3 linked regions of the Saccharomyces cerevisiae S288C genome follow. The gene in region 1 interacts genetically with each later gene. Each region holds a gene or a part of one and is shown in the gene's direction. Other genes may lie near its edges.

Evidence for each region.
Region 2: mutations in UTR2 (region 1) and QCR10 together harm fitness more than expected from each alone (negative genetic interaction), as found in Saccharomyces cerevisiae (2 studies listed by BioGRID).
Region 3: mutations in UTR2 (region 1) and AMD1 together harm fitness more than expected from each alone (negative genetic interaction), as found in Saccharomyces cerevisiae (2 studies listed by BioGRID).

What each region holds. Positions count from the first base shown.
Region 1 is NC_001137.3:76,317-80,078, forward strand, and holds UTR2 (chitin transglycosylase UTR2), read left to right. Parts: upstream 1-1,736; coding exon 1,737-3,140; downstream 3,141-3,762. Other genes in the region: YEF1 (NADH/NAD(+) kinase), read left to right, coding at 1-1,115; CYC7 (cytochrome c), read right to left, coding at 3,320-3,661. UniProt on the Saccharomyces cerevisiae protein: Dual chitinase/transglycosylase that plays a role in cell wall architecture. Chitinase and transglycosylase activities are coupled. Required for the polysaccharide cross-linking at the septa and the cell wall.
Region 2 is NC_001140.6:105,871-108,689, forward strand, and holds QCR10 (ubiquinol--cytochrome-c reductase subunit 10), read left to right. Parts: upstream 1-1,955; coding exon 1,956-1,961; intron 1,962-2,024; coding exon 2,025-2,252; downstream 2,253-2,819. Other genes in the region: oxysterol-binding protein related protein OSH7, read left to right, coding at 185-1,498.
Region 3 is NC_001145.3:206,988-210,749, reverse strand, and holds the start of AMD1 (AMP deaminase), read left to right. Parts: upstream 1-1,889; coding exon 1,890-3,762. Other genes in the region: SRC1 (Src1p), read right to left, coding at 1-1,225. UniProt on the Saccharomyces cerevisiae protein: AMP deaminase plays a critical role in energy metabolism.

The sequences.
Region 1 (3,762 bases):
GAGAAGTGGTGGAATGGATCTTACGCAATTTCCATTCAATAACTGTATATGTACAAGATATTTTTAAAAAGTCAACTCAGTTTGCTGTTGGTGACCTCTGCAAAGACAGCAATTGCAGTAAAAACAGAGTAAAGTATTGGTCAAAAGAATTTGTTAAAAAACACGATTCATTCTTTGACTTGATGATTACACTAGGGGGTGATGGAACTGTCCTTTTTGCTTCATCTATATTCACGAAAGATGTTCCGCCGATTGTTCCATTTGCCCTTGGATCATTAGGATTTCTAACAAATTTTGAATTTCAAAATTTCAAAGAAACGTTGAAACATATCTTAACAGATGAGGTTCGTATTAATTTACGAATGAGGTTGCAATGCAAACTCTACCGTAGAAATAAACCAGAAATTGATGCCGCAACTGGGAGAAAAATATGTTACATCGATTTCATCTCCGAACATCACGTATTGAACGAAGTAACCATAGATAGAGGTCCAGCTCCTTGTTTATCCCTATTAGAACTCTATGGAAACGACTCACTAATGACTAAGGTTCAGGGAGATGGATTGATTGTTGCCACGCCTACGGGATCCACGGCATACTCATTGAGTGCAGGAGGCTCTTTAATATCGCCAAGCGTAAATGCCATAGCGGTGACGCCTATATGTCCTCATACTTTGAGCTTTAGGCCTATAATTTTACCAGATAGCATGGAATTAAAAGTTAGAGTAGATATGAACTCAAGAGGGACGTCGTGGGTGAATTTTGACGGAAAAGATAGAGTTGAATTGAAACAGGGTGACTATGTTGTGATAACTGCAAGCCCCTATTCGGTACCGACTATCGAGTCATCTGCCAGTGAATTTTTTGAAAGTATCAGTAAAAATCTTAATTGGAATGACCGCGAAGAGCAGAAGCCATTTGCACATATTCTCTCGCCAAAAAATCAAGAAAAATATAGATTAGACTCATCGAAAAATGGAAACGACACCATAAGTAATCCCCTCGAGAGTTCATGCATAAGCTCAGATGCACAAGATGAGGAGAGGAAATCCGTAACGGAAACAGAAACAGAAATAGTTGTTGAACGGACTCGTCAGGCTCATTTTGCAATCTAACGATTTCCCACATCCTGCGTTTCCGTAGTCAAGGGTTCATAATGGATGATGAGCCTGTAAACAGCTTTGTATTTACCTCTTTTACTTCAAGAATGCTCTTGCGTCGTTTGCAGTGTCGAAGAAGATCCAGTAGAGCTATACAAAATGGAGAAATGAAACAGTTGAACCAGAGCGCCGCATTTGGCAGGTAGTTTCGCTAAATTTCCTCATGCGCGTTTGTAATTATGCTAGTTAACCATATGATAAGGTTGCCTAACTTGCAGTCACCGGAAGGTTATTTCCGGAATGGTGCAGAATAATTTTTAAAATAGTAGCATATATTTCGTTCCAATTCCCAAATAGGGAATTATAATTATGACAGATAAATTCCCGATTAGGAAGAAGCGCGAAAATTCTTGAAAAACTTTTTTCAACCTCGAAGAAAATCGTCGTCCTTCGAAGATTTAGTGGGAATCTTCAAGGTGGATAGTTTCCAAATTAAAACTGCAGAAGAGGCTTTTAAAACATGCCTGAGGTATAAAAAGAACAACATTCCTGGTGATTATGGTTTCTGTTGGACCCTGTTCCCTTTGTAAAACTTCTATTTATTGTCCTGCAAATAAGCTAATTATATAATTAATAATGGCAATCGTTAATAGTTGGCTAATTTGTTTAGTCAGTATTTTTTCCTTCGTGGTACGTGTAGAGGCCGCTACATTTTGCAATGCAACTCAAGCATGTCCCGAAGATAAACCATGTTGCTCACAATATGGTGAATGTGGTACTGGTCAATATTGTCTGAACAACTGTGATGTAAGATATTCGTTTAGTCATGATTCATGTATGCCTGTACCTATCTGCAAGAGTTCATCCACTAAATTCAAAGATTATTCCTCTAAGTTGGGGAATGCTAACACTTTCTTAGGAAATGTTAGTGAGGCTGATTGGTTGTATACTGGTGACGTTTTGGATTATGATGATGAAGAAAGTTTAATTTTGGCGATGCCCAAGAACAGTGGTGGTACCGTTCTTTCCTCCACGAGGGCTGTTTGGTATGGTAAGGTCAGTGCTAGAATAAAGACGTCACATCTTGCTGGTGTGGTCACTGGGTTCATTCTGTATTCCGGCGCAGGTGATGAACTTGATTACGAATTCGTCGGTGCTGATCTAGAAACTGCTCAAACCAATTTCTATTGGGAAAGTGTTTTGAACTACACGAATTCTGCCAATATTTCCACTACTGATACATTTGAAAACTACCATACTTACGAATTAGATTGGCACGAAGATTATGTAACATGGTCCATCGATGGTGTCGTCGGTAGAACCTTGTACAAGAACGAAACTTATAACGCCACCACCCAAAAATATCAATACCCACAAACCCCATCCAAGGTGGATATTTCCATTTGGCCAGGTGGTAATTCTACCAACGCTCCAGGAACCATTGCATGGTCTGGTGGTGAAATTAATTGGGACGCATCCGATATCAGCAACCCAGGATATTATTATGCTATTGTCAATGAAGTTAATATCACATGTTATGATCCACCAAGCGATACCAAGAAGAATGGTACTTCTGCTTATGTGTATACTTCGTCCAGTGAATTTTTGGCCAAAGACATTGCTATTACCGATGATGAGGTCATGATGGACAGTGATGAGGGATCTGGCTTGGACCCACATAAGGGAGCTACCACATCTTCCACCCAAAAGAGTTCTTCCTCAACTGCAACCTCTTCCTCCAAAACGTCATCCGATCACAGCAGTTCAACTAAGAAGAGTAGTAAGACTAGTTCCACCGCTTCATCATCATCATCATCATCTTCTTCTTCTTCTTCTTCTTCCTCTACTGCTACTAAGAACGGAGATAAAGTCGTATCCTCCGTATCCTCTTCCGTCACTTCCCAAACTCAAACAACATCTTCTGTAAGCGGAAGCGCCTCCAGCAGTACAAGCTCAATGAGCGGTAATAACGCAGGTGCCAACGTAGCGGCAAACTGGCGTTTGACTGTTTTATGTGTCATCCTAGGTTATGTCTTATAGGAGGATCTGCATCTAAGAACAAATAGGCTACACAGGACTCTCAAAAAAAAATGTATTAATAAATAAAAGAACTTAAATATAGACTTTTTATTCGCATGCATATAAAAATAATTAATTAATAAATAACTGTAAAAAACTAGAATAATAAAAGTAATAAATATCTCCTCCGACGACATAGCCTATTTGGCAGCCTTTGTCATATAAGTAATTAAATCGTTTCTGTCCTTTTCCTTCTTCAACCCGGCAAACGCCATCTTGGTACCAGGAATATATTTCTTTGGGTTCGTCAAGTACTCGGACATACTATCCTCATCCCATTTGACGTTCTTGTTGATGTTTGCATCTGTGTAAGAATAACCCTTTACCTGACCTGAATGTCTACCAAAAATACCATGTAAATTAGGTCCAACTTTGTTAGGACCACCCTCTTCTATTGTATGACACTGCTGACACCTCGTTTTAAACAATGTAGCACCCTTTTTTGCAGAGCCTGGTTTGAATCCCGTACTTTCTTTAGCCATGTTTTGTTTATGATGTAATGTAGTTTACTGAAGTTTACTTAAAGTAATGTGAATAAATGCTTGTATGTGATCTTCTTGTATAAGTCTTTGATTTTGTTTCA
Region 2 (2,819 bases), on another chromosome or scaffold:
GGAATGTTAATTCGCTCGTGCGTACTAATTTTTCCGAGGTCACTCGCAAATCCAGAATTCTAAAGGATGAAAGTATATTTTCTGAAATCGTCAACAAAGAAGGGATGTGATATATTCAAAATGGAAAGATTCCTCCTTCTTTCATTTAGAAATAGGAAACTAACCAGTAAATTAGAAACAAAGAATGGCTCTCAATAAACTAAAGAATATACCTTCTTTAACAAACAGTTCTCATAGCTCAATTAACGGCATTGCATCCAATGCTGCAAATTCCAAACCAAGCGGAGCAGACACGGATGATATCGATGAGAATGATGAATCTGGGCAAAGTATTCTATTAAATATTATTTCCCAGCTGAAGCCAGGTTGTGATTTATCTAGAATCACACTTCCGACATTTATTCTGGAAAAAAAATCGATGTTGGAGAGAATCACTAATCAATTACAATTCCCAGATGTTCTTTTAGAAGCACACTCCAATAAAGACGGGCTGCAAAGGTTCGTTAAAGTGGTAGCATGGTACCTAGCAGGTTGGCACATTGGGCCCAGGGCTGTGAAGAAGCCCCTAAATCCCATTCTTGGAGAACACTTTACAGCTTATTGGGATTTGCCTAACAAGCAACAAGCCTTTTACATTGCAGAACAAACGAGTCACCATCCTCCTGAATCTGCGTATTTTTACATGATTCCAGAATCGAATATTAGAGTTGATGGAGTTGTTGTGCCAAAATCGAAATTTTTAGGAAACTCAAGTGCTGCAATGATGGAGGGGTTAACTGTATTGCAATTCCTTGATATCAAGGATGCAAATGGTAAACCAGAGAAATATACTCTATCGCAACCAAATGTTTACGCAAGGGGAATTCTGTTTGGCAAGATGAGGATTGAATTGGGAGATCACATGGTCATTATGGGTCCTAAGTATCAAGTGGATATTGAGTTCAAAACAAAGGGCTTTATTTCTGGTACCTATGATGCAATTGAAGGTACAATTAAGGATTACGATGGTAAGGAATACTACCAAATTAGTGGTAAGTGGAATGATATTATGTATATCAAAGATTTGAGGGAAAAAAGCTCTAAAAAGACTGTTCTCTTCGATACTCATCAGCATTTTCCTCTAGCTCCTAAAGTCCGCCCATTGGAGGAACAGGGAGAATACGAATCGAGAAGGCTTTGGAAGAAGGTTACGGATGCGCTGGCTGTACGTGACCATGAAGTAGCTACAGAAGAAAAGTTTCAGATAGAAAACCGCCAAAGAGAGCTGGCCAAAAAGAGGGCCGAAGACGGCGTTGAATTTCATTCAAAACTATTTAGAAGGGCAGAGCCAGGTGAGGATTTAGATTATTATATTTACAAGCACATCCCTGAAGGGACCGACAAGCATGAAGAACAGATCAGGAGCATTTTGGAAACTGCCCCGATTTTACCAGGACAGACATTCACTGAAAAATTTTCTATTCCGGCTTATAAAAAGCATGGAATCCAAAAGAATTAGGCTTCTCATTCTATTTTAATTATACTAGTACGATTTCTCACTCTGTAATTTAATATCAGTGTAATATGCACCTAGTTATGGGTAGTTTTTGCTAACGTTACGAGCCGCGAAACTGTCCTCAATCTTCACCACTACCTCTAATGACTGAAGAATGCTATGCGATATAACGCTGTCGCACTTTGAATATATACTTATATTTACATAGTTTTCAAGTGCGTATTACTATTGCAAAGTAGTATTTTGTCACGTGATTTTGATCCAATTAAAACTAAATATGGTTCAACCCGTTGTTTCCGCATCAAAAAACCATACCATTTATCAAGGGGACGGGATATATCACATAACAGTTTGAATGCATAATTTGTTATAGATATCTTCTGGAATAATCTTCACAGCAAAAGCGCAAGTCGAATAATATATCGATAAATACAATCCATAAGACTTAAAACTAACCTCAATGGCGGTAAGTATCCTATCATATTATGTGAGCTAGAACCGAATTAGTATACTAACATTTATAATACAGTACACTTCTCATCTGTCTTCAAAAACTGGTCTACATTTCGGTAGACTTTCTTTAAGAAGTTTAACAGCTTATGCTCCGAATTTAATGTTATGGGGTGGTGCTAGCATGCTTGGGCTATTTGTATTCACAGAAGGATGGCCTAAGTTTCAAGATACGCTATACAAAAAGATTCCGTTGTTAGGACCTACATTGGAAGATCATACTCCACCAGAAGATAAACCTAATTGAAGCCAAAACATCCAACCGGCTGAGTGATTTTATTTATTTGTTTTACGTTCTTTTCTATCATTTTGGAAGAGGAATTAATGCAAAACACATTTGTATTTTTTTTTATTTTTGCATATTCTCGATTATCTATACATATTTTTAAACTGGATCATAAAAGGTATAAAAAGTAATTGATCCATACAACATTTTTAAATATTTACCCCTCTATTTTCAGAATATTTACTAAAACATCAGTTATCAAAGAGTAGGGAAAAGTTAACTACAGGTTTGTTTTTCCTCTTTTTATGTATCTTTTGAGCTTTGTAATTGGGCAGCACATCTCTATGTTTTCAGGGAAACCTATTTCATTCGCCATTTTGATGATTTAGGCATACGCCAATGCTAACGCCGTTTCTTGTAATTTCTATTTTTTCAAATGGAGTACTTTACCTTCCTCCCGCAGCTGGAACTTTCAACCCGCCGGAAGAAAAGACCAAATAATATTATAATTAATATTTAAAACCCTTGAAAGATCATCTCTTAAAATAACCTCAAATAGTGTAAATCCAAGCACTTGAAAACTTTGCC
Region 3 (3,762 bases), on another chromosome or scaffold:
TTGCTTCACACTTTTCGACGTCTTTCTCTGTGGGTAATTGGGGAGTCTCGATCCTTGTAGGCACTAAAACTTCATCTTCATCCGATACCAAGTTACTACTATCTGTATCTATCATTTCGACCACATTATTGCTGGTATTACCCATAGGCTGATGAGGACCTGGCGTGGTGATCTCTGGAAGCAAGGGTGCTTCCGACTCTGAGCCAGAGCCTTCGGACGAAAACAAAGACGGTGTTCTTTCACTCTGAGAAGGTTCTTGCTGTTCCACTTCTGGAACCAGTATTGTAGATGGTACCTCCTTTTGAGGCAATTTATCCGCAAATGAGGCAGAAACTTTTAACTTACTCAAGGGTGTGCTATGGCCTGTTCCATTGGCAGTTCCGAGCTCTTTTGGATTGTGTCGTATGTTCGGTACAAATGGATCATTTTCCGTACCGCTTGAAGTCAACGAATCGTTAAAATTATCCATGCTTACTGGCTTTCTATTTGTGTTCTTTATTGGTGTTTTGACGGAAAGTTTTCCTAAAATGGCAGAGCCATTTCCATGCTCTTGGTTCAAATCACTCGTCTTACGCTTTTTTGCCTTCTGGTAATCCTGTTCAATTTCTGAATCTGATGATAGGAGGTTCAAATGCTTATTATCGATTTTATTTTCCTTTGAATTAGATTCAGACCAGTCGTCAGAATCAGGGTCTTTCCTTTTCTTACGAGTATCGGAATTTTGCTGGAAATCATTGGTGTCTGATTTGTTGGAGCTTGATGTTATCACATCATCCTCTTCATCGTCCACTTCATCGGTATCCGTTCCACTAGGTACAATTAAAGGATCGTCTTTTTTATCATTGTCATCATCATCATCATCATCATCATCATCATCATTACTTACATCATCCAGTATTCTATTCTTCTTAAACTGTTTGGCCATGGGGGAAGCAGATTTCTCCCTGCGAGCTCGTCTACTTCTACGAGGGGAAGCTATAGATGGGGAAGATGAGGGACGGTCCATTTTCACAATACCTTCATCGCTGGGCCGAACGTTCAGATACATTTTCCGTAACTGCGGGATCTGCGGTTTAACCTTTTCATCGAACAGCCCCACCAGCGCATTTTTCCTAGCATTAGATGGGAAATCGACATTATTTTCTACCAATATCCTCCTCAAAGTCGCAACTTTCATTGAATTCGGATCAAAACCGTCCTCTAAATACTCCAAGTCACTATTCATCGCGGCACTAACTGAGTACTGCTACCGTTCTACTGTTTGTTGTTCTGGCCTCTACGTTCACTCCGTATGGTCTCAGTCTACTATTAATAATGACTGAGGACTATTTCTCTTCCATGTATTCCGCATAGTATATTGACAGCTATACAAGTAGATCGATGTCCAGATTAGCCACCACAAATTGAAACCAAAACAAAAACAAAGGGGGCTTCCTAAAACAGTAATTTTGAGGGCTCTTTAAAACCCTTGATTTCCGTTCAGGGTGATCAATATATATATCCTAGTTATTTTATAGATGCCCTAACTTTATTTTTAGGGCACGTGGGGGTCTTCTCTTTTCTTTTTTCATTCCTTTTTCATCTTTTTTTTGCGCCTGGCGATGATGAGAAAGGAGTTCTAGTAGCACAAGGTTTAAAGGATATTATCAAAAAATAGATAAATTTTAAAAAAAAAAAAAAGGCATCTCTTGACGACTTTTCTTCTCTCTCTCTACAGGCAGAATTAGCAGCGTTTCTCGTATACTAGTCAATTATCGGATATTAATAGTATTTTTATTATAGTCTCCCTGCTATAGCCAATTTTGATTCAGCAAAACTCGATTGAACTGCTAGTACGCCAGATTAATAAATTATATAACAAATAAAAAGGGGGCATTCTAAAAAAAATTATGGACAATCAGGCTACACAGAGGCTTAACGACCTTTCTCTAGAACCAGCTCCTTCACACGATGAACAAGATGGTTCAGGACTAGTCATTGACATAGATCAAAGAAAGATTGGTGATGAACAAGCTGGTGTCGTAGTGGATGATGAGACACCCCCCTTAGAGCAGCAAGATTCACACGAAAGTTTAGCTGCTGATTCTCGGAATGCTAATTTCTCGTATCACGAGAATCAGCAGTTGTTGGAAAATGGCACCAAACAGTTGGCCCTAGATGAGCATGATTCTCACTCTGCCATCTTGGAGCAACCATCGCATTCTACCAATTGTAGCTCTTCCAACATAGCAGCGATGAATAAGGGCCATGACTCGGCAGACCATGCATCTCAAAATTCCGGGGGTAAACCGAGGACCTTGTCTGCTAGTGCTCAGCATATCTTGCCAGAGACGCTCAAGTCATTTGCCGGCGCTCCGGTAGTGAATAAGCAGGTACGTACCTCTGCCTCCTATAAAATGGGAATGTTGGCTGATGATGCTTCACAGCAGTTTCTTGATGATCCCTCTTCCGAGTTGATTGACTTGTATTCCAAAGTGGCAGAGTGTAGAAATTTGAGAGCCAAATATCAGACCATATCTGTGCAAAACGATGATCAAAACCCAAAAAATAAGCCAGGCTGGGTAGTCTATCCACCACCACCTAAACCTTCATACAACTCAGACACTAAGACTGTTGTGCCAGTAACAAACAAGCCGGATGCGGAAGTTTTCGATTTTACGAAATGTGAAATTCCTGGTGAGGATCCAGATTGGGAATTTACCCTCAACGATGACGACTCGTACGTGGTACACAGATCAGGTAAGACGGATGAGTTAATTGCTCAAATCCCTACCCTTCGTGACTACTATCTGGATCTAGAAAAAATGATTTCCATCTCATCAGACGGTCCCGCTAAATCATTTGCTTATAGAAGGCTGCAATACCTAGAAGCACGCTGGAATCTTTACTATCTCTTGAACGAATATCAAGAAACTAGCGTTTCCAAAAGAAACCCACACAGGGATTTTTATAATGTTAGGAAAGTGGACACTCACGTTCACCATTCTGCTTGTATGAACCAAAAGCACTTATTACGTTTCATTAAACACAAATTGAGACATTCCAAAGATGAAAAGGTTATTTTCAGGGACGGGAAACTACTAACTTTAGACGAAGTATTCCGTTCTTTGCATTTGACTGGATATGATTTATCCATCGATACTTTAGATATGCATGCACATAAGGATACATTCCACAGATTCGATAAATTCAACTTAAAATATAACCCTATCGGTGAATCTCGTCTCAGAGAAATTTTTTTGAAGACAAACAACTACATCAAGGGTACCTACTTGGCTGACATTACCAAACAAGTCATATTCGATTTAGAGAATTCAAAATACCAAAACTGTGAGTATAGAATTTCTGTTTATGGCAGGTCTCTCGATGAATGGGATAAACTAGCTAGCTGGGTGATTGACAACAAAGTTATTTCCCATAATGTTCGTTGGTTAGTCCAAATTCCGAGGTTATATGATATTTACAAGAAAACTGGCATTGTTCAAAGCTTCCAGGACATCTGTAAGAATCTGTTTCAGCCACTATTTGAAGTGACCAAAAATCCTCAGTCTCATCCAAAATTGCATGTATTTTTACAGAGAGTAATTGGGTTTGATTCTGTCGATGATGAATCCAAGGTTGATCGCCGCTTTCATAGGAAATATCCCAAGCCATCACTCTGGGAGGCTCCTCAAAACCCTCCTTATTCCTATTACCTGTACTATTTGTATTCAAATGTCGCGTCTTTGAATCAATGGAGGGCTAAGAGAGGGTTTAACACTT